Linked DNA regions of Notamacropus eugenii. The protein of the gene in region 2 interacts with the protein of the main gene of each other region in a pairwise test. Links are inferred from orthologs where the notes say so. Each region holds a gene or a part of one and is shown on either strand. Other genes may lie near its edges.

Region 1 (7,866 bases), on a different chromosome or scaffold from region 2:
CATGTGCCATTTGGAACTTGGAATATCTCTTCCAATGGTAGGACGCAGGTAAATGTCACCAGTTCTTCTATTTCTCTTCCCAGGCAGTCCTACATCTCATTTCATTTTACTTATTTTCTTGATGAATTTGTAAGCTCATCAAAGAAGCAAGGGACAATAGGATGATATGTATATGATATTTGTTAATGAGTTAATAGTAGCATTTTGGAAGAATTTTTAGAAAATATTTTTACAAAACAATCTTGTTCCTGGAAAAGCTTGGTGGCACAGTGGATACAGCACTAGACCTCGAATCAGGAGGACCTGAGTTCAAATGTGACCTCAGATAATTACTAGCTTTGTGGCCAGGGGCAAGTCATTTAACCTTGGTAGCTTAAAAAAATCAAAACAAAAAACAAATACCTTCCTTATAACCCCGGCCTGCTCTGTTTGTGGTTCTCAGGGCAAAAGGAGATTGCTATATAGCTCTAGTCTTCTTGGTCTGATTTAAGTTGTTTTTTTTTTTTTAACATATCAAGTTTTATTTTATTTTTTCTCTCAAAATATTATGTTTTATTGACTTTTAAGTTTTTTATTATTAAATTATTTTGTTTTCAGTATTCTATAATCACTTCAATATATCTTAGATTTTTCCCCCTCCCAACTCCACTTTCCCCCCTCCCTTCCCACTCCCTCCCTGAGATGACATACAGTTATATAGGTTCTACACATACATTCCTATTAAATATATTTTCTCCTTAGTCAAGTTGCATAGAAGAATTAAAATGAATGGGAGAAACCATGAAAAAAAACAAAACAAAACATAACACAAGAGAAAATAGTCTGCTTCATTCTGCAATCCAATTCTATAGTTCTTCCTCAGGGTGTGGCAGGCATTTTGCCTCAAGAGTCCATTGGGAATTTTTTAGGTTCTTGCGTAGCTGTGAAGGGCTAAGTCTACCAGAAAAATTCCTCTCACACTGTGGTTGTTGCTGTGTACAAATTTCTCCTGGTTCTACTCCTTTCACTTAGCATCTAACATATCAAGTTTTTACATTAGGGATGTTAGTACCAAAAAGATCCCAAGGGAAATTGAGGAGGAATGTAAGTGTCCTGAGGACAAGAACTATCTGAACTTTTTCTTTATATCACTGGCACATAACATATAGTGAGCATTTCATAAATTCTTATTGATGGACTGAATAAATACTAACCAAGGATGAAGGCCAGAGAATCACAATATGCAACATTAGTCTATGTTAAATAAATATGGAGTTCAAGTCTTTTAAATCTGAAGTTATTGGCACATCGAGAGCCACTTGTATGTGGACATACAGTTTATGTCAGGTCTCAGAGGACCTTTTAGTGTTTCTTCGATATATTTAGAGGGCTGAATGCAGGGACCTATTTTCTGTTTGATATATTGATCCATAGGCCTGGAACACATATTCTCTGGGACAGAGATCTTGTTTAGTGCCCTTTAGAATCTTAGAGGTAGAATATATAATGTTGCTCAGACTTTTCCTTTCTCCTCACTGCCAACCCATACCTACCTAACGGTAGGCACAGCCAGTCCATTTAGTGTGAAATGGAAGTATTACATCTATTGTAAGAATACTTATTAGCAACAGTAAAGCATGTGCATTTTAAATTATAACAATTCATATTTCATTTTCTCTTCTATAAAGTGTTTGACAAATTAATTAGTGATTATTCTGTGAAGGTACGTAATAAAAAAAGACATAATTAGTGGTTAAAAAACCTTTCTCCTTTAGTCACAATTTTGTTCAATCACATCTTTTTTTCCTCTTTCTAAACTACTCATTTAATATTGTAAATCATCTGATGCTTTTTTTCTTAGTAATACAGATTTTCCTCCCTCTTATTGAATATCCCTCATTCAGGGATGTCCCAAAAGTCTAAGTAAGCTTTGAAATCTTTTTTTTTAAGCTTAAAATTGCTCAATGAATCTTTGGGAACCTTGTTTATAAGTAGTATTTTTCTTTCTCCCAGTTGTTGGTAATCATCAGTTACTAGTCCCAGACACACACAGGAGTTGCAATGTGTGGACAACACAACCCCTTAACACATGACATTAAAACATCTTCTAAGCAATTTTGACATTTGATGTGTCCTTTTAAGTCTTTTTTCCCCCTTCAATTTGCTTTTTAGGATGGTCTAATCAGTCTTCACACACACACACACATACACACACACACACACACACACACACACATACACCCTTCAAGCTGATGTATGCCAAGTATTCTTAATAAAGAGTGTCTTTACATTTTAATAATAGAATTTTTATTTGATTCACTGTTTCTTGAAGGTATAATCTACAAGTCATTACCATAGATCAAAATTGTTTTCATTATTATTTTTGCACTGGGACAGTTTTCCTTGCCTTTTCCAAGTAAATTTATGTAAAATTACTAGGAAGTAAGTACCAAAGAAACAACATTGAGATTCTGATCTTACAAATTTTGAGATGTGGATAGTGTCCTTGATTTCAGCAATGTACATACTTCTACCACCAGCTCAGATTTTAATCCCTCCTTAAAAGTCCTCCCAGACTTAAATTGTATTAATAGGCATTTCAAATGAATTTTACTCCTAAAGGGTAAGGGGACACCACAGGATTTTTAATACTGGGTTACCTTATTGCATTAAAAACTAGTCTATTTATCTCTCCTATCACCCCCATCCACCAATACAACCCCTTTCCCCCCCACACAGAGTTAATTTTGTTATTTTTCAGTAATTTCAGTTGTCTGATTCTTTGTGACCCCATTTATGAGTTTTCTTGGCAAAGATACTGGAGTGGTTTACCATTTCCTTCTTCAACTCATTTTACAGATGAGGAAACTGGGATAGAGTTAAGTGACTTGTTCAGGGTCATACAGCTGGTGAACCTGAGACCAGATTTAAAATCAGGGAGTTGAGTCTTCCCGACTCCTGGACCAGTGTTCTATCTATTGCACCAACTAGCTGCCCCACAAAGTTAATACTTGGTTATCAATTTGGTGAACAGAATATGGGAGTGGAAGGCAGACGTCTTCAGATTCAGGACCCAATCCACTGTTAAGGACATGATATTCAACACACCATTACCCTCCATGAGCTTCAATTTCCTTATTTGTAAAATGAGGATACTTTACTAAATCTTCTCGAAAGACCCCTTCAACTCTAACCTTCTATGATTTGCTGGCAACATCTATTGTGTAAATCAAAGCACAATTATTCCAGTTCTACACTGAAATATTTTTCCCTTGTGCTCAACCTGTTTATTTGAATGTCAAACAGAATGGCATTTTTTCTTGTTGTCAGTGAATAAATTTAAGAAAGAGTACATGATTAGGAAAGAAGTTTTAGTTTAACCTGAAACTTTAATGGGTTTCCCCAAAAAAGTTTATATTCTTTCATTTAAATGAATAACGCTCCCTGGGAGACATATTTTCACTACAGCTCTCTACTGCAACTTTCTCCTACTTAGACTCAACTCTGAATTGTTTGCATCATCAATTTATGATTTTTGATTGGATCCCAAGGGAAGTAAATTAATATTTGTAGTTTCTGGATACATAATTCATGCACAAATCATTCCAGGCATGCATTTGCATGTCAGTCAGAAAAAAGAAAAAAAAACTGCAAGTGCATTTGAATTGAAAAAGAGAAGAAGCTTTTGAAAATTTGGCATTGATAAGAATGAGAAAATTCTATGAATTTTGGGAAGATACTTAGAAATTATTGTTAGGACTTTTCACGACAGTCTTTGTGTATTTAAGAGGCACAGAGAGCAGTACTCTAGCTACTTTACTATTTTAGCTTCATTGCTAATCAGGAAGCTGTTGGTCATCTTTTGAATTTGTTATACAGTACATGCCATCCTGGAAGCACAGCCTTATATGTAGAGTTCATGGGCAGTCCTATTATGGGAAACCAACTTGTTTTGAGGGAAGCCCAGCTGCCTGCTTCTGCGCAGGTCCTGGAATTTGAAACATCTAGGGACCTCTATGGAATCCTGGCATCAGTTACTACATCGACTGACTCTTTGGGAGTTAGGCTCACTCATTCTCCCCTTACAAGATTCAGACCTTAGAAGCAGTGAACTTTAGAGATAAACTTCAAAGAAAACAGAGAGGGCTTTATTTATTTTTTTTTTTTGGAAGGTTACTTTGGCTTCTCATTTTTACTGACTCGCCTAACTCTAAAAAACCTACTGGAGTAATAAAGCTGAGGACATTTTCATTAAGATATTCCCTGTTGCCTTGATATTTTATTTTTGTCCAAATGATTTGGTATGAAGAAGCAGAAGACTGTTGTAAGTATAGACTAAAATAGTTTTATGATTTTTGTGTTTCTCATATAACTTTAAATGTCAAATATTATAAGAATTTCAGCTTAAGAAAATAAAATAGGTAATATAAATGCTCATGTATTGTGTACAATAATGAATATACAAGTAGTTACTTATAGGTAAATATACTGAATTAGGAAAACTTTTTTTCCAGTCTTACTGGACAATAATTACCAGTATTCAGAATGATCTTAAATACTTTTGTGTTAAAAGTAGAAGTAGTAAGGTATTAATATTTATATCAGAAGTTTTGCTCCCATAAGTTAAATTCCATGGTTGTCTATGTTTATTGGTATATACATATATGTAAATGTGTTAGTGTTTTTTATGTGTGACAGTTATCTGTAATATTCCCAGCTAATGTAAGAACTAATAAACTACCTTTCAAAAGGGAGAGGGAAGGGTCTGGGATAAAACTATGTATGTTTTAATAAGTATAGTGAGTTGAGATAGATTAGGACAGAATGGAAAGATTTATCCAGCCTTCTTTCTCTTATATTCCAGGATATCTTATTATTCTTCATTTTAAGAGGCTGTCTTCTATTTTCAGTTCTAGGTAGTACTCATGTATGAATTGTCCTAGAGTATGAAAGAATGCCTTCTGAACTGAGGAAATATCTTAAAACTTTTGGGAATTTTAACTATGCTTAGTAGTAAAGTTAGCTTAAAATACTGTTCATCTTTTATATCTGTGATGACTAAGCTGTTTTCACTCAGATACTTTTGGTTTGCCACTATTCCAAGACCAACTCTTTAGCATCTTTATTTTGAAGCAGATCATGGCTCCCTAGGTATTTTAAATTTTTATTGCAATAAGCAAATAAAAATGATGTATTGTGAGGACAATCTGTTCCAAAGAGATGGGTTGACTTGATTACCTAAGAGATGTGTGTGGTTGTTTTACTTGTTTCTTAACTCTTATAGATCTAAGATTATCGCCACTCTCAAATAGATTCAAGGACTGAAACTGTATTTAGGAGAGGGGAAATAACCCAGTAATTTCAATAACTGTTCATCAGTTTCAGGAAAAGAAGAAAAATGTTGCTGAGAAAACTTTGCGCGAAGGAATTAATGATTTTATATTGGTAGCTCCTGGTTTTGGAATGTATACACTTCATTACTTCCTTTTATTATTCTATGTAGTGTTGGAAATCACCAGGGTTGCATTCCCATTAAAAAAATTCTCTGAGTTAAATTAATTTTAAATAATGTATATGTTTGCATATATTACATACATCATGATACTTAATCTTTGATAACATATCAATTCTCTGTAAGAGATGATCTTAAATTAAAAGAGTAGTTAGAGGAAAAATGAAAATAAATTAATTTATAAATGTTTGTCAAAAGTAAGATATAGCTTATAGGCATGTATAATCATTTGTGGCAACTTATAATCTCTGATAAGATCGATAAAATTGTGAAATGTGAATACATAGTTATTAGAATATAAAAGAAAAAGAAAAAAAATCCTAACATTTAGACTATCCAAAAGTAGAATGAGCTCTGGTTAGAGGTAAGAAGTTCTCCCTCATTAGAATTCTTCAGATATGTTATGAATGACCACTTTTTAGGTATGTTGTATGAAAAACCTTGGTAGGTACAAATTTGGTTGAATGGTCCCTACTAAATCTAAGACTGTGATAAAGTGATTTAGAGCAGGAAGGGGCTTTAAAGGTTATATAATCCAATTCTATCATATTATGGATGAGGAAACTGGACCTGGAGAAATTATGTGACTTGCTTAAAGACACACTGTATTTGGCAGAGGGAGGATTTGAACTCAGGTCTTTTAACTCCAAGTCCAAGGCTCCTTAATGTGGCTATAAATATTATCTTGTTCTTACTCCTGTGAAGACTAGTATCAATACTCTATTTAAATTTTAAAGACTGTGTTCACTAGGAAAAGCAAGAAAGGTGTCTTAACATTTTATCTCACAGTTCAGTGCCTTAGTGGATGCACTATTTAATGGTGATAATAATATTGGAGATTCATAGAATAAATAAAAAAAGGATATTTATAAAAGGTTATTTTCTATAAAAAAGTATTACTGCCTTGAATCTCAATGTTGATCATCTTTTGAATACAGGATGAGAGATAGAATACAGAGTCATAGTTTTTCAACATTATATTTTGGAAGTTATAGGCAGGCTACTTACTGTCAGTAAAATTCACATCCAATTTAATCTGCTGTATAGCGTGCTTTTGTAATTTATTTTCCTAAATTTATAATCTGACAAGCTTTGAATGCAAGATGATGGTCACTCTCATCATGTACCATAGATTCTATTTACCTACATACGTGTAATAATTTTAACATGTATATAGAGTTCAGGTTTATTTTACATATATGATTTTGTAAATTGTGTATATATATCATCCATGAATATGTATGTTTATACACACACACTCATACATACATAAAGACAGACAGAGAGAGACATGGAAAAAAAGAAAGGGAGAGAAACATGATAGTTTTAGGAGAACAAAATGGAATTAAAACAGCATATTTATGGTATGTAAATCTGTTCTTCTGTCATGTCCTACTCTTTGTGACCATATTTGTGCTTTTTTTTCGCAAAGATATTGGGAATTGTTTGCCATTTCCTTCTCCAGTTCACTTTACAGATGAAGAAACTGAGGCAAACAGGGTTAAGTGACTTGCCCAGAATCAGACAGCTAATCAGTATCTGAGGTCAGATTTGAACTCAGGATGATGAGTCTTCCTGACTTCAGCCAGCATTCTATCCTCTGCACCACCTAGCTGACCTAAAGCATACCTACTCATTAAAGTGTATTCTTGTGGGGAAAGAGGTTTATAGACTCTCATGTTTAATCGTTCCCTATTATCTAAGTCGTACTAAAGTACACATTCATTAAGCAGAGGCAAATATGAAGTAGGACATCTCTTTCTGGCTTGAAGCCTTATTTTAAAACCTTTAAAATCTGTGTTCTAAGTCACTGGCCATATGTTTGACAAACTGTGAAGGTTTTATCCACAGCTGAGGTTTAATAAGAGAGATAATGAAATCTTTGTTCTCTGGGAAAGTCATGTGTTTTGTTTTATTTTTAATCTCTCCTCTTTGTCTTATCAACGGAGTAACACAAAGTAATTTTCTAGTACCTCCTTCCCTCTACCTTTCTTTAATATTTCTTTGGCTTATTAAGATGATTTATCATAACTTTTATTAAGATACTGTTTAACTTTATCTCATCCATGATATCTTGATAGGTGAATACAAACACTGAAATGTGTAGACAAAGGCCTCTAACTAGACTCATGATTTCTTTGGTATTTCTTAAAAGACTTTCCAGTGTGGAAACTTCCTCTGGCCATGCAGTCCTGAAAGTCCTTTGAAATTTACAGTCTTTCAGAGCTGTCTAGAATATTGATAATTCTGTCATGTACTCCAAGTGACAGAGCTAGTATGTGACAGGGGTTGGATTTGAGCACAGTTTTTCCTGATTCCAAAGGTGTTCCTCCAGGAGTGGGGAACCTAGGACTTTGCAGTTATGTGTGGCCCTC
Region 2 (7,752 bases):
ATATACTACTGTGGGCAAGAATTCATTAGAAGAAATGGAGAAACCTTCATAATTAATAAAAGGGTGAGAAAAGCAGCACAGGGGTATAATCTAAAAAAATGACAATGCTATCTGTTCAAAACCAAGGCAAATCATTCAACATCAAAGTAATACAAATTTAGGCTCCAACCACTAAAGAGACCAAAGTTGCTCAGTTCTATGAAGACCTCTATCTTTTAGAAATAATATTAAAAAATGTCACATTCATCATTGGGATTGAAATCCCAAAGTAGGAAATCAAAAGATAACTGGAACAACAGGCAAGTTTGGCCTTGGAATACAAAGTGAAGTGGGGCAGAGACTAATAGAGTTTTGTCAAGATAACTAACTCACTACTCATAGCAAATACTCTTTTTCAACAACTCAAAAGGCAACTCAGCACAAGAACATCACTCGATAGTCAATCTTGAAATCAGTTTGATTATATACTTTGCATGTAAAGGAGGAGAAACTTTATATAGTCAGCAAAAAAAAAAAAGATCTGGAGCTGATGGTAGCTCAGATCATGAGCTTTTTACTGCAAAATTCGGACTTAAATTGAAAGAAGTAGGGAAAATCTTCAGACCACATATGTGTGACCTAAATAACATCACTTATGACTAAGAAGTGAAGGTGATGAATAGATTTAAAGGATCTGGTAGAGTGCCTGAAGAACTACAGACAGAGGTTTGCAATATTATATAGGAAGCAGCAACAAAAGATATTCCAAAGAAAAAGAAGACCAACAAAGGAAAACGACTGATTGAGACTTTACAAATAGCTTGGGAAAGAAGGAAAGTGAAAGGGAAAGGAGAAAGGCAAAGATATACTCAACTTAATGAAAGTAGAATTGCAGAGAATAACAAAAAGAAATAAAGCTTTTCTTAAATGAGCAATGCAAAGAAACAGAAGAAGACAATAGAATGGGAAAGATGAGATTTTTTCAAGAAAATTAGAAGTATCAAGGAAAGGTTTCATGCAAAAACAGGCAGTATAAAACACAAAAATGGTAGGGACTTAACAGAAGCAGAAGAGTTTAAAAAGAGGTGGCAAGAATATACAGAACTATACAAGAAAGATTTTAACATCATTAATAACCACAATAGTGTGGTTACTGATCTAGAGCCATACATACTACAGAAGTAAGTCAAAGTAGGCCTTAAGGAAGCACTGAAAACAATAAGGCTCTAGTGGAGATGACTGAATTCCAGCTGGGCTATTTAAAATCCTAAAAGATGTGCTCCATTCAATATGCCAGCAAAATGGAAAACTCAACAGTGGCCACTGGATTGAAAAAAAAAATCAGTTTATATCCCAATCATAAAGAAGGGCAATGCCATGGAATGTTCAAATTACGAAACAATTACATTCATTTCACATATCAGCAAGGTTATACTTAAGATTCTTCAGGCTAGGCTTCAGCAATATGTGAACTGAGAATTATGAGAAAAACAGGTTCGTTTTCAAAGAGGCAGGGGATCTAGAAACCAAATTGACAACATTCACTGTATTATGGAGAAAACAAGGGAATTCCAGAAAAAAACATCTTTTCCTCCTTTACTGACTATACTAAAGCCTTTAAGAATGTGGCTCACCACAAAATGTGTCAGGTCCTCAAAGAGATGGGAATACCACATCATCTTACTTGTCTCCTGAGGAACCTGCATGCAGGGCAAGAAGCAACAGTTTGACCAAAACACGGAACAACCTATTGTTTTAAGATTGGGAAAGGGTACAAAAATGCTGTACATTGTCACCTTATTTATTTAACTTATAAGCAAAGTACATATCATGTGAAATGCCAGGCTAGATGAATCAAAAGCCAGAATTAAGGTTACCAAGAGAAAGAGCAACAATCTCAGATATGTATTTAATTCTACTCTTAAGGCAGAAAGTGAAGAATGAAGAAGCCTATTGATGAGGGAGTGAAAGAGGAGAGTGTAAAAGCTGGCTTGAAATTTAACATAAAAAAACCTGTTAAGATCTTGGCAACTATTCCTATCATTCGACAAACCAGGGGAGAAGAAACAAAAGCAGTGTCAGATTTTATGCTCTTGGGCTCAAAGATCACAGCAGACAGCAACTGAAGTCATGAAATTGAAAGATGCCTGCTCATTGAAAGGAAAGCCATGGCAAATCTGGACAGCTTACTAAGAAGTGGAGATGTCACCTTGCCAACAAACGTCCATTAATCAAAGCTATGGTTTTTCCAGTAGCAGTATATGACTATAAGGAGGGCTAAGCACCATACAATCGGCAAGATTTTGAGAATTCTCTGGACAGCAAGTAGATCACTTGAAGTATCCACAAAGTTCTGACTTGGGGGAACCTGGACTCTGAAGAGAGGGATCTGAAGACTACTAAAAAGTAGTCTTTTGCTTGTTATGTCCCTATGTTGAAAACCTCAGAAAAATCAATTAAAGCTTTAGCTTGGCTCATGTGTACAATCTCCCCAAAGGGGATCAGACAGTTACTAAATGTACAATATAGCTTAGTTAGAGGACAGCCATTTATTTCCTCTCCACAAAAGAAATCCTCAAAAAACAACTCATAAATGTACACTGTAAAGACTTAAAATGTTACAGTAACTCATTAAAATATGATACAATAAGTCATAACTCCTATTCTACTCTCTCAGGAGGTTGGAACTTAAAAAAATTAAAACATGAAACATTTTGTGGAGCTGCTAAACAATCATTTAATCTTCACCTTGTCTCTGCCCTCTTTGAACAATTTCTTAAAGGTACAGTTCTCTAGCAAAACAAGTCAGGGCTTGAGTTTTTCCTCCTGTTTGTTGGCGGTCACCTTCTCTGAGAAAGGAATAGTTACAGAAAACTCCACTTCTCATCAGCTTCAACTATGAGATGCAAGATCTCCTGACCTGTCAGACTCATCAGGATGCCTCCAAACCTGGAAATGTCCATTTCAGGATTACTGTTTGGTCACTTGTGTTAAGAGAATGAATAAAAAGCAAAAAAGGCAGCCAAGGCCTTGAGATTCCTACCCAGGCTCACTTAGACAAACACATGCTCAGACTTCAATGAAACAAGAGACTGATAAGTTGGGGAGAGGAATGTACCCCTTTCTCTTATGAGAAGAGAAATCCTCACAGAACATGCCATTCTTGTCAAACTGAAAAAAGCAGTCCTCCAGAGGGCAGTCACTCCTTTCAAGGTTTACGGAGGGAGTGGCTCTTTCTGGCTCAGTGGTCAAGTCTCTTTCGAAGCATCTGTCTCCCCTTGCTGCCACCATTGGGACCAAGGCATTTTTACATGATCCCTGAACCCAGATTTTCCCCATGCTAAACCCGAGCATAAGCAGTCCACTGAAAGTGGTCAGGGGAGCTCAGATCAGTTTTATGCATGGTCTAAAGGGGGAATGCTCTAGCTGGAGCACAAAGGTGAGGGAAATTTCACGAATATACAAGTATGTATGGATGCGGATTAGACCTGTATAAGGGAACTCCCCAGGTGAGAAAACTCCCTCTATCAATTCAGTTCAGTATTTTCTCTGTAATTTATAACCTCTTTTAAGAGAGTTGCCTAGTACACTGAGAGATTAAGTTACTTGCCCTGGGTCATATATAGCCACTTGAATGCAGGTCTTCTGTGGCTTGAAGGCTGGGCCAGGTTGTCTCATATTTATATGATTATAATATAAAATGAATAATAAGTATATTTTAAAACCACCACTTAGATACGTTTCAATTATATGGAAAAGTCACATCTAGTTCACGTGAAGGGCACAGGGGTGCATCACCCTTTCAACAGTAATGACATTTATATAATAGCACGTTGGCTTCACAAAATACATTATCTGATTAGCTCCTCACAGTCAACTAGGGAGGTGGGTAATTAGTCCTACTTCACAGACAAGGAAACTGAAGGTCAGGGTGGTTGAGTGACTGGTCCGGGCCACAGTGAACGCAAATCTTCGGCTCCATCCACAAGACCTCCCCGCCCCCCGCTCGACAGGTACAGGTAGCAAGAAGCCTCCTCTCGGGCTGAGGTTCTGCTTCCCACCTTGGCGCAGGCACTGGAGCTCCCACTAGCAGGGATGCCCCGCTTCCAGGTGGCACTTTTTGTCCTAAGGGCCCGGAGAATCTCCTGAGGGGAAACTTCTCTGGGGCCCCCGGCTCCCGGACCCCCGGGACGCCCCACAGCCGGCCGAGCTCCGCAGGGACTGAGGGGGAAGGGCTCGAGAGAACCGGAGTGGAGCTCCGCGCGCGAGGCCCCGCCCCCGCCCCGTGCCTGTTCTCGCGCGGGCGAGGCGCTGAGCCGCGCGCGCCGTCGTCACCCCCTCCCTGCTGCGCGCCTCCAGCCCCCCAGCTCCCTTTCCCCCTCCCCCCTCCCCTCCGGCTCGGGTGCGCGCTCGGGGCTGGGGAAAGCGGCGCGAGCCGGGCGGCTGCTCACGTTCAGGCGCGGGGGCGGCTCCGGGGCCTGGGCGGGCGCTGCTGCCGCCGCCGCCGCGGGCAGCGGACCGAAGAGAAGGAAGAGAAGGAGGAGGAGGCTCCGGTTGCCGCCGCCGCCGCCGCCGCCGCCGGAGATCCTCCCCCCACCCCCGGGAAGTGAGTACTGCTGGGGGGCGGCGGCGGCGGAGGGCAGCCTGCTGCGCCCCCGAAGGAAGGCAGCTGGGTAGCCTGGCAGCCTGCTGGGGTCCTTGCGGGCGCGAGCTCCTGTCCGGGAGCTAGCGGACCCCGGAGCCCGGCTGGAGCGGCCCCCGGCGGGCGGGCTCAGCGCCGCGCGGGAGAGGGGCTGCTGTTAGTGCCGGGGATCCCGGGTCCGCACCGGGGCTCGAGGGGGAGGGGTGCCCGGCGGTGCCCCGGGAGAGCGTGCGGGCCGGGACCGGGCCGGTGCCAAGTGCGGCGTGCCGTGCCAGCGAGGCAGGACCTCGGGTGCCCGGTGCAGCTGCCGAGGCGCTGACCCGAGCTGGCGACTATGGGGCTGGAGGGAGAGCGATCCGAAGGCACACTGCAGTATATGCTTAGCCTCGGGAAAGGGGAGGGTCCCCTCCTGTCCCACCCTCTCCATCTCCCCTGCCCACCCCGTGCCAGGTTTGCAGCTGCTCTTTGCCACTCGAGAACGCGGCGGCGCCGGGGACTCCATGGCGCATTCGGTCCGGGAGCGGGGATGAGCCCTTGCTGATGTTGCCTGGAGGAAGCAGCTTCGAAAGAAGACGATCTGCAGCGAGTGCTGAAGGGGAGAATGGGGCAGGTCCTGGCAGAGGGCAGGTGAAGGAGGCAGGCCCTGGCAGAGAAAGTGGTTATCGGTCATCGAGTCTTGAGAGAAAACAAGAGACTTGCAATTAGAGTGACCTAGAGTTCTGAGCCCCTAAAGGGAAAATAGCTGTGGGATTTGAGGTCAGGTGTATGCCTGATTGTTAGGTTCCTTACTCTGGCCTGGGAATCCGGCCCTCTGGTATGATCATTAACAAATAGTTATTGAATGCCTACTTTAGGTATAGGGCACACAGTGCTAGGTAGGCATTGTAAAGGCCTCTTGAAGGGCCAGTAGTCCATTTGGGGAGACAAGAAACATATGAATACAGTGGCAGTGAGTTTTATAATTCATTACTTAGTTTTAACTTGCTGAACTCCTTTGCTCCTTTATCTGGACATTTGGAGCTTAAATGGCCGGTTTGTGGGAGAAAAGCACAAGGGTCAGATGAATAGCTGAGTGCAGTTTTGGGCTATTTTGGAAGCCCTCAAATTCAATACTTAGAAGGTGGGTGAGAAACCAGAGCCAGGATTTCATTAGCTGCTCAATTGGCCAACCTTTATTTAAGGTGAGCAGTACAGAATCACCGCTTCAGATTAAGGTGGACGTATGGACTTTTCACATGGAAGGTCGTTCCAACCATGTCAACATAGGTCTAACTCCTCAGTGTGAACAGTAACAGTGGCTACTGCTTATGGGATACACTGTTTTCTTGTCTGCATCATGTAAGCTGTATCAAAGGAGTTTCTTTAGGGTCTTAGAATGATGTGGTCTTTCCTTTTAGCTTGTAATGTGCTAGTTTCATGTAGATACTTTTACTTAAAAACCTGTACCCTTTCAGTTTTATCATGACGTCTTTGAGAAGAAAGTTATATGTTTTTAGTGTTGGTGAACTGTGAAGATTAGGATTCTTCTATTTATTCTGTTTCTTAGTTGAGTTTAGGGGTCTCAAGTTCCAGGCTGTTGTTTGACTTGCTTGGGTTGCACTGCCTGTTGGGTTACTTTGTCTGCCAAATTAAAACTTGACCTTTTATGAGTTCTGAGAGAATTCTTAGTACCCATAGGTGAAACTGGCCTTTAGAGTATAGTATGTTCTAGATAATACTGATAGATTTCAAAAGATCGAAGTAGTTCTTTAGTTGTGAACATATATTTAAGTAAAGCACACATATGCCAAGCACTGCGCTAAGCACTGGGTATACAAAGAAAGGCAAAAACCACTAGATCTTGGGATACAAAGAAAGGCGTCAACAGTGATAGTAGTAAACACTACTGTTTGTGCTTTGGTGCTATTAAATGACATATTTTAAATAGTTTTCATGAAATTTACTTGGGGAAGAGATGCTGGCAGCATATTCTTGTTAACTGTTCTAAACATGTTTTATAAATTCTAGACATTTAAAATAAACTTCCTACACAGGGAGTGAAAATTTTCTATTATGTGTATGCTGCTATTCCTTAGAAACAAAGTTCCTACTGGTAAAGGAGATTTAGATGTCAACTTAGCCAGCTTTTAATATATGCCTACTATGGCTAGGTGTGTATGTGTGTGTGTGTGTGTGTGTGTGTGTGTGTGTGTGTGTGAATATAACTACAAAAATGAATTACTTCAAGGAATTACATTTACTAGGTGTGAGGTTATACCATACTTATAGATAAGCAAATATAATACAGATGTAAAATGTTGGGGTTGGGGGAAGTTAAACTAACCACTAGGGGAATTAGGAGGGATTACTTGAAGGAGGGAGCAGTTGAATTGAGTCTTGAAAGGAAGTGGGCAAATTTCAAGAGTGAAAGCTAAAGAGGGAGAACGAGACCTGATAATTGATTGAGGGTGGGGTGGGTGGGAAGGGATGAGAGTGAAGAGTTGAGGGTGACTTCTAGGTTAGGAACCTGGGTGAATGGAAGAATGGTGGTGCCCTTGACAGAATTAGGGAAGTCAGGAGGAAAGATAATCAGCTCTGTTTTGGATATGTTGAGATTGAGATGCCTGTGAGACATTCAGATAAAAATCTCCAGTAGGTAGATGGAGATGTAGGACTGTAACTTACGGGAGAGATGAGGGCTCTGCACATAGAATTGGGAATCATCTGCATAGAGATGACTACTAAATCAATGGGAGTTGATAAGATCATTGAAAATAATTTTTCTTAGGCGCTGTACCTTGTTAGTAGTTGCACCAGGTCACAGTCATAAAATGTGAAAGGACTTTAGAAATCATCTAGCTGAGCCTCCTGATTTTACAAGGTAAAGGTAAAACAGTAGAATCATGACAAGAAGAACCCAGGTCTCCTAATTTTTAGTTTTTCAGTGCCCTCTCCAACCCACCAAAATAGTAAGCACACAAATACCTTTGAGCACATATGATATTTACTACTAACAGCTTATTTATTGGTTTGAGGATTCAGAGAATGGAAAAGATGTGACCAGAGAAATTTATGATGTGAAAAGATTGAGAGTAAGAGATAACTAATGAACCACAGTGCTCCATTGATACTCCACACAGTGTTAAGAGAAC
Region 3 (8,716 bases), about 170 Mb from region 2:
CCCCCAGCACAGCTTGATTATAGTAATATTCAGGCAAATTGAAGGTTTGAAAGGCAAAGCAAAAGTCCTAGTTGCATTTCCTCTCAGACTAGTTGAAGAGCTAAATGCAAAACTAGAGGTGTCTGAAGTGTGCCTTCATCGGTGGTTAATATCGCAGATGCCCAGAATCTGCCCATCCGTCATCTCCCTGAGGAGGTCCCTGGGAAGGAGGAAGTGAAGGAGGAGGGACTGTTAGCTCCATGGGACTGTCTGCAGGAAGAAAAGGACTCTCCCTCCACCCAAGGTATCAAGGAACCCAGTGAGACCTTGCTAAAATTCAGGGTCAACGAGGACCGACATCACTTCTCCTGAAGGGAAGCTCAAGATATACTGTAATAAGCGCTGAATTTGGAATCAGAGGTCCTCCATTCAAATACCAGTTTTGTTACTTACCTAAGCAATATTGGGAAAGCCACTTAACTTTAATAGACCCTAGTTTTCTCATCTGTTAAAGAAGGGGATTAGATTAGATGATCTCTGAGACCCCTTGTTGCTCTAAATTCTATGCTCTTTTTAATCTATATTGCTTTCTCTGGGCTAATCATTTCAAAGTACCAGGAATGATAACACTATTATTATTAATGGCTAATCATTGAATTGGTCCTGCTCTTCCTTTTTCTCTTATCCTACCATTCAAGGCCCTCTATAGGGTATCCCATCCAACCCCCCAAATTCACAACCTCCTCTCGTTGTGTGTATTCTTTTCCTCCAACCAGACATCTTCTCATCTTCCAGTACAAAATTTATCTGTCCTTCAAGAGCTACTCTCCCTTAGCACTCACTTCTCTCTTTGAAGTTTTCCCTAAAAACTCCAGGACTTGATGATTTTCCTTAAATTCCACAGTATTAAGTAGTCCTGGACAAGTGGATCACCAAAGAATTTTGAAGCCAGAAGTGACATCAGAGGTCATTAGTTCAAACAGCATTGAAGTATGGATCTCATCCCTAACATACCTGACAAATAGTCCTTTAACCTACTTCTCCCCATCCTATCTTTCTGAACTAGCTGCTCCTCCTGCCTTCTGGTACCAAAGCAGAACAACAGTGGAAAGAACTCTGCCTCTGGCATCAGAGCTGGGTTCAGTTCTTGCCTCTGACACTACCTGCGTGACTGGGCAAATTCCTTAACTTCTCTGGGCCTAAGTTTTCTCTTCTATAAAGTGGAGCTACAGGCCAACTAGATGGTTTCTGAGGTCTCTTTTAGCTCTAAGTCAATTAACCCCTGGATCTTGTGCTCTTTTCCATATAACATCACTATACCCCAACTAAGGCAATCTAGGTAAAGAAAGTCCAACTCCACTCAGACTTGTTTGGAAAGAACAAAATCAGATCTAAGCTTTCCTGGTTGGATAAGTCTTACCCAAGATTTCATCTAATCATTAACCCTTCCTGTCAAAGAACTAAGCTCTCCAAATGAGGAAATAGGAAGGAAAAAAATCCTGGATCTCCCCAGTGTTAACAACTGGTTATTTAATAATCATTTCTCCCATAACAGCCCGTCATACATGTGAAGATATCAATAAAGTCCTAGTATTCTCTTTTCCAGGCTAAATAGTCCTAGTTTTTTCAACTAATCTTTTGCTATGCGGTCCCTTCACTGTTACAATAATTTCTCTGGATGTCCCTCATTTTGATAGTGTCAGTCCAAAAATGTGACCCTTCTCTCTTCAGACCAAAAATAGTGGCAGGGTTGAACCATTTATTGAAGATATTATGAAGGGGATTTGGGTAGGAACTGGACTAGACAGCCCTACTGGAGTCCTTTCCTCCTCTGAGCCTCAATTCAACTGGAATGTATTTAATGCCTACTTAAGCAAGTGCTGAGGAAAACGAAGAAGAAAGAGACAGGGGCACCTTCATCTCTGGATCCTTAGCCTCTTGCCAGCATGGTATAGTAGAATGAGCCCTGGATTTTGAGCCAAATGATCTGGGAGGAATCCTGGCTTCGCTCCATCATATCTATGGAGTTTTGGGCAAGTCGTTTCACCTTTGGACCTCAGTTTCCTCATCAGTATAAAAGTGAGGCATCACTTGAATCACATACAGGTAGTGAGGAAAGTACAAAGCATCAGAGAAATGTGAGTTGCTACTCTGATAGTTACCTTGGGCCTCTGCCCCAGGGATCTCCTTTCCTCCAGTGCTAAAAAACTGTAGGCTCCCCAAGAGGCTCTTTCAGCATGGGGGTGGGGGCAGGGGAACTGTCACATGGTGCAGTAACTGAATTGGAGCCGCCAGCAGGGGCAGAGGATGGGGAAGCACAGGTTTTACTAAGCAGGCTTTGCTGCGACCTGGCTCAACCGCTCTAGCTCCAGGGACTCCCTCCCTATCTCCCCCTTTCTCTCTGAACCTCCAGGGCTTACTTAAGGTAGCAACATCTGCCTGTGTGCAACCCTGACCCCCTGCTTCTTTCTGCATCCCAATATCAAGACTAGGGATTAGCAAAGGAAGTTGTGAGCTGAAGTGCAAAGAACACCGGAATGGGAGTTGGGAGACAGGGGTTTCCAGTGCTGGTACTGCCGTCATTTAGATGGCTGTGTGATCTTAGGCAAATCCCTTTCTCTGGATCTCAGTTTCCTTCTCTGTAAAATAATGGATGAAGTTGGAGGACATGGTCAATAAGGTTCCTCCAAGTTCTGACAATCTACGTTTGTGACCTGGGAACTGGAGAGGAAGGTGGCAACCCTCGGGTCAAAGTGGGAGATGAGTGCCTGGTGATTGCTCTTGATTAGGGAGTCATCCCCTAAGCATGCACAGGGAAATCCCTAAACCAACTAGGCATTTAGCTGAAAAGGTTGAGGCATGCATGCTCTCTAGACCGAAAGCAGTCGGGGAGGGGAAATATACATATATATACACACACACACATATATATTCCAACCCTTCCCCTGCAAAAGCATAACTGCAGTTTTCTTCCCAAGGCTTTTCACGCACGCAGTGACCAGGGAAGACCCCGGGCGCCACTCTGGAGCCGGGAAGCCAAGAAAGAAATAAGGCGGAGGCGTTATTCGGTTAATGCGTTCGGCCGGTCTTTGGAAATCAGGACCGAATCACCTCTGTCCCAAACCCAAGCACTCCTGTCAGGCTATCCTAAAGGGGGCTTTTCAGAAGGGAGATTCTCTAGGCTGGGGCTGCTGGTGGTGTGAACCGAGGGCGGCGTCCCGAGGGTAAGCCCTGCAGTCTCTGGGGGCTGGACAGCTCCTGTGGCAGGTTTCCCTCTACCTCCCTCCGCAGTCCCCCAAGACCACCGCAGGCGCACAGCAGAAGCTGGGGTGGAGGGAGCTGAAGGGAGAAGTGGGATAAGAGAGAAGGGGGTGAGCTAGGGGAAGGAGGAGAGGGAAAGAAAAAGAGGAGGGAGGAGAGGAAGGGGGAGGGGAGAAGCGAGGGAGGGAGGGAAGGCTGGAAGGCAGGGGAGGAGGGGGGGAGAGAAAGGAGGGGGTGACTGGCAGCGGGAGGGGAAAGGAGGGGATGAGGAGGTACTCACGGCGCGGGGGAGCCGGCCGGCCCTTCGCCTGGAGCCGCCGCTGCTCCACATGGTGACCCGCGGGGACGAGGCGCGGCAGCTGGGGCTGCTCTGCTCCGGCAGGGAGCGAGGCAGCCAAGCAGGCGCGTACAGGGCTGGCGCCGCGGCCCCGGCTCGGCCAGGCTGGGAGGCGCCCGCGCGGACTCTTCATGACGGAACAGGCGAGAGGCTGGACCACCGCCCCACCCCCACCCCATCCCTGACTTCCTTCACACACGCCCCCGCTCTGGTCCCCGACCCCTGGGGTGCAGCACGAGAGGAGGCGGCAGGCGGAGAAAGAACTAGGAGGAAACGGTGTGACATGGGTTCGAGTCCGAGTCTTGCTCCAACTGCCTCTGTGACTTCCCTCAATAAGCCTCAGTTTCCCCATATGTAAATAACCCAGTTGGTCTCTAAGGTCCCTTCCAGTCTGACATCCTATGGAACACACTCCACCTGCACCACAGAATCATTAGATTTCCCTCCCTTCAAGGCTCCTCTCAAAGCCTCCTTTTACAGGAGGCCTTTTCTGATCCTCTGGTTGAGTGTTCACCCTCCATTACTGTGTAGAGACTTATCTGTGTACTCAGTATTTTCTCCTAATAGAATATAAATTCTCTGAGGGCAGAGACTTTTTTCTGGTCCCTTTGCCTGGCTCATTTTTCTTACCGAGACCTGTGAATTCACTGGTGTATTGAAACTTCTGGGGAGGAAATTCCTTCTGTCAAAGCATCTCAGCAACCTTATTGTTCCTCAGAGGCAGGATTTTAACTCAGTTCTTACTGAATCCAAAGCCAGACTTCTATCCACTGCTCTATGTTGCCTGGCACAAATGAGATGCCCAATTAATGCCTGCTAAGTTAAATCAAATATTATCTTTTTAAGGTGTTAGTTCCTGATTTTTAGCGAGGTAGTTTGTTAGGAACTTGTGGTTAGAGTAAGGATAGTCAGGCCTAGGTGTAATTTGAGGTGGGGGGGGGGGGAAGAAAAGAGCTTAAAATCCTAAATTCTTAGACTGAAAACTAAGGGAACAAGGAATCAGTTGGGATCTCCTGATTCAGTTGGGTCACACAATATTTATTATGACTATTTTTCTATGGTACTTTACAATTTAAAGGTCACCTTATTTGCAAAAAGGCCAAGGAGGTAGTTCAAACATTATTACCCCTGATGTGCAGATGAGGGAACTGAGCTTTGGACAGTTGAAATGACTGGTTTAAGGTCACACAAATAAGTGTCAGAGCTAAACCAGAAACATAGTCCAGTGACCTTTTTTTACTATACTGTCATTCAAATTATAAGTCTGACACAGAGTACTTTCATCCATTCTAATCTGATCTACAAATAATCCTAGAAGGTGAGCAGTATTAGTTTTATCAATATTTAACAGAGGAGAAAACTACAAGCAAGAGAAATGAAAGGTTTGCTCAAGGTCACCCATTATCCAGTGGCAGAGGACTTGTGTTCAGCTTTCTTGTTTCCCTTCAGTACTTGCACTAAGATACATGGCCTCCCAGCATGAGTGCTGAAAGCAATTTCTCCAGGTCCACAGTATAAGAATATTGCTCTCACCCTGACTCCAGTAGAAGCCTTGAGAGTCAATGCCTGGTTGTCCTTGTTGATTTGTATATTTTCCATCTACATGCTATAATAGAAAGAGGTTTGGATTTGAAATGAGAAAACCTGGCCTTAGGTTCTAGCCCTGCTACATACTACCTGTATGACCTAGGAAGCCTCTTATTTTCTCTGGGCCTTGGTTTCATTAAATGTGTAGCTCATATAGACTCTAGGGTTCCTTCCCCCAATTCCCACTTGTCCTAGAAAGCTGGTTCCCTAGATGGATGCCACACTTCCCTTTCAAAATTATAGGGGGATCCCTAAGGTGTTGGAGTATCTTTCTAATGCTACTCAACCCCCTCAATCAGTGTGTTCCCTTCTCCTCCAATATCACCAGCAATTATCACTCCAATATCAGTTAATCAATTAACATCAATGAACTTTTACAAAGAAATATTTACTATAAAAAAATCAAGAACCAAAATACCTCTGAATCTAGGAGCACCCTTTCCCCTCTATATATCCCTCCATCCCTGGGGATAGTAGGCTCAAACTTAAAATAGTGACAACACAATATTTTCACTATTCAATTCATTTCTAAGTATGGAATTGCCAAAGAACAAGTTCTTCCATTGCTTACAAGGACATAACTTCTCTACTGCCTGGTTGATTCACTGGTAGATTGATTAAAGCAGGTCATTACTCAGTGCTGGTTCCTTCTTGTTCTCAGCTGCTGAACCAAGCTAAAAAAAGGCAAAGCCTAGTGTCCAGGAGTGGGAAGTTGGGAGAAGGAACCCCAGGATCTATTTGAGCTACACAATTAAGGAAACTCAGGTCCAGTGAAGGGAAGGGGCTCCCTAGGTCCTATAGGCAGTATGGAGCAGGGCTAGAACCTAAACCCAGATTTTCTCATTTCAAATCCAAAAACCTCTTCTGTATTCAATATTCAATCATCTAAGACTAAGAAAGAAGAAACACAAAGAAACAGAGACATTATATGCTCACAGCTAGTTATCTGCCCTGGTGGGGAGAACAGTCTGCTAGCTCTACCTCTTTTATCCACCAGAAGCCTTATAGAAGTTCTTGCCTTGCTTGTTACCAAGGAAGAGAGTTTCTCCATTGGAGCTTTTTGTATGCACTCGCATATCTGGTACAAGTCATTTAAAATGGTTTTTGTAACTCCACATTAAGTGGACAGGAAACATTTACTGAGATACTTTCACGATAAGAGCAGAGCCTCTCGATTATAAGTTTTCAGGGACTTCCAGAAGCAAATTCTCCAAGCTCACCATATGGGTTAACAGTGAGAAGGCCACTTTCTATCCAACCACCCCCTGAACATGCTCTGAGGACTGCAAACCCATTAACCATTGCCCTCATTATATCTGTAAAATGAAGGGTTTGAACTAGTTGCTTTCTTAGGTTCCTTTCTTGCAATCTTATATCTACTCATAATAACTGAGAACTGGTTCTGAACATGTTTCTGCTTTTCCTACTGAACTTTGTTTATGTTGAATTTGCTTGCTTTCTACCTCAAAAATGTTAGACCTAAGATTATGTAGCTAGCAAATCACAGATTCTCAGTTATAATGGAACTCAGAGGACATCAAGTTATTCCTGTACAATTATCCTCCTACAATATCATTTTAATTCAACAAACATTCCCAAGCATTTGCTATATGCTAGGTGCTTTGATTATAAAGGAAATGAGGGAGAGGGAGAGGGAGAGGGAGAGAGAGAGAGAGAGAGAGAGAGAGAGAGAGAGAGAGAGAGAGAGAGAGAGAGAGAGAGAGAGAGAGAGAGAGTTGCCTTTGACCTAAAGGAGTTTATGTTCTACTGGGAAGCCATGTGTACAGATAAGTAAATACAAGATAATTTGAGGAGGAGGGAGAGAGTGTAATCAACTGGAGGCATTGGTAAGGGCTTCATGAAAGAGGTGGCACCCAAATTAAGCCTTGAATAAAGAGAAAGATTCTGAGAAGCTGGACATGAGAAGGGAGTACATTCCAGGCATGGGGGAAAGCCTTCTGCTAATGCACAGAGACAGAAATGAAATGTTCAGTTTGGTTAGAATGAATAGTATGTGAAAGGAAATAATGTGAGGCTGAGGAGCTGGTACTTTATTCTAACGACAATGGGTAGTAAATAACAATAACATTTATATAGAGCTTACGATGTGCCAGGCACGGTGCTAAGCATTTTATTATTTCATTTAATCCTCACAGCAACCCTGGGAGATAGGTGCTATAATTATCCAGAGTGACATAGTCAGAATTATGCCTTCTGAAAATGATTTTGGCAGCTATGTGGAAGATTAACGAGAGAGGAGGAAACTGGAAAGAGGATGACCAACTAAGAGGATATTATTAAAGTCCAGGTGAGAAGTGGTGAGGGTTGGAACCACAGAGGTTCCTATCTGAATGGAGAGCAAGAAAAGAGGCCACAGAACAGGCAACTGACTGGCTAGGGAAAGGGAGAGACAGGAGAGAGCCATGGATTTCTCTGAGGTTGTTAATCTGGGTGACTGAGAAGAGGGTGATGCCCTTGACAGAAAAGGGAAGTTTGAAGGCAGAAACTAGCCAATATTTCCATCCAGTTCCCAGTCTGGCAGAGCAAACTACAGAAAGATTGATTCTAAGTATATCTTTCCTAGCTCCCTTGGATAAGTTCCATTTGTTCCCTTCTCATTTTCCTCATCACATGGTCCCCTCCTTGACATACAGTCACCCCTAGTGTCCCATACTATGCAGAAGTCATCACAAACACAAACACGTGCACACACATTTACACACAAGCAGACATCTCTCCTCCCAAACTTGAGAAACCCCAAAGGGGACCCAGGTGTGAAGAGTTCACTTCTGTCTCTTGCCTGCACCTGTTCCAAGGCAGACAATGCCATTGTCAAAATGTTTCCCAAGGTTGTTGGCAGGCAAAGAATTTTGTAAATTTTAAAGCAGTGTGTAAACTAGTGATATTGTGATAATAATAGCTAACATTTATCCAACTCTTCAAAATTCAAGAGAGTTTTATGGATATTAGCTCATTTTATCCTCACAACCATCCTGAGAAGTCAGTGCTATTATCATCCCCACTTTACAAATGATATAGACAGAGATTAAGTGACTTGCCCAGGTTCACACAAGTAGCAAGATATGAGGGAAATGGAGGGGAGAGAGGAGAGATACCACATATAAATAGGTATATAGCTACAATGTAGGTAGGTACTAAGTAATTTCAAGAGAGAGATAGTACCAATCAATTGAGGTGTCAGGAATGGTCTTGTGGCTCTTAGGAAGCCCTGGCTTCCGACTCAGTCCAGATCAGGTATTGTCTCCTGATACCTAAAGTGTTTAGTGTTTTCTCTTGAAATTACTTCTGGCAGACTTTGAATTCAAGTCTTAATTTCATGTCTAGCACTTGAATCACTGTGCCACCTAGCTGCCTCTTAGTATGACCAAGTTAAGCCTTTTTTTTTTTTTTTTTAAAGAGGGAACAGTAAAAAACTTGAAGATAGATTTCATCAGGGCCAGAAGCTGACCCTGCATGGTTACTCTACATTGCTGAATATTTAGTATATTTAAAAGTGATTATGATTATACATGTGTTATATTTCTCTCATTA

What was found. The genes of interacting proteins can lie anywhere in the genome.
Region 1: the proteins of DTNB (region 2) and DMD interact in binary tests that used the Homo sapiens proteins (3 or more experiments, as listed by UniProt). The link is inferred for Notamacropus eugenii from reciprocal best matches to the Homo sapiens genes DTNB and DMD.
Region 3: the proteins of DTNB (region 2) and BEGAIN interact in binary tests that used the Homo sapiens proteins (3 or more experiments, as listed by UniProt). The two-hybrid records come from large-scale screens. The link is inferred for Notamacropus eugenii from reciprocal best matches to the Homo sapiens genes DTNB and BEGAIN.

The regions. Positions count from the first base shown.
Region 1 is NC_092876.1:441,926,513-441,934,378, forward strand, and holds the start of DMD (dystrophin), read left to right. Parts: upstream 1-4,180; 5' UTR 4,181-4,272; coding exon 4,273-4,303; intron 4,304-7,866. UniProt on the Homo sapiens protein: Anchors the extracellular matrix to the cytoskeleton via F-actin. Ligand for dystroglycan.
Region 2 is NC_092872.1:526,514,542-526,522,293, reverse strand, and holds the start of DTNB (dystrobrevin beta), read left to right. Parts: upstream 1-4,454; 5' UTR 4,455-4,585; intron 4,586-7,752.
Region 3 is NC_092872.1:354,341,675-354,350,390, reverse strand, and holds the start of BEGAIN (brain-enriched guanylate kinase-associated protein), read right to left. Parts: upstream 3,687-8,716; 5' UTR 3,572-3,686; coding exon 3,521-3,571; intron 1-3,520. UniProt on the Homo sapiens protein: May sustain the structure of the postsynaptic density (PSD).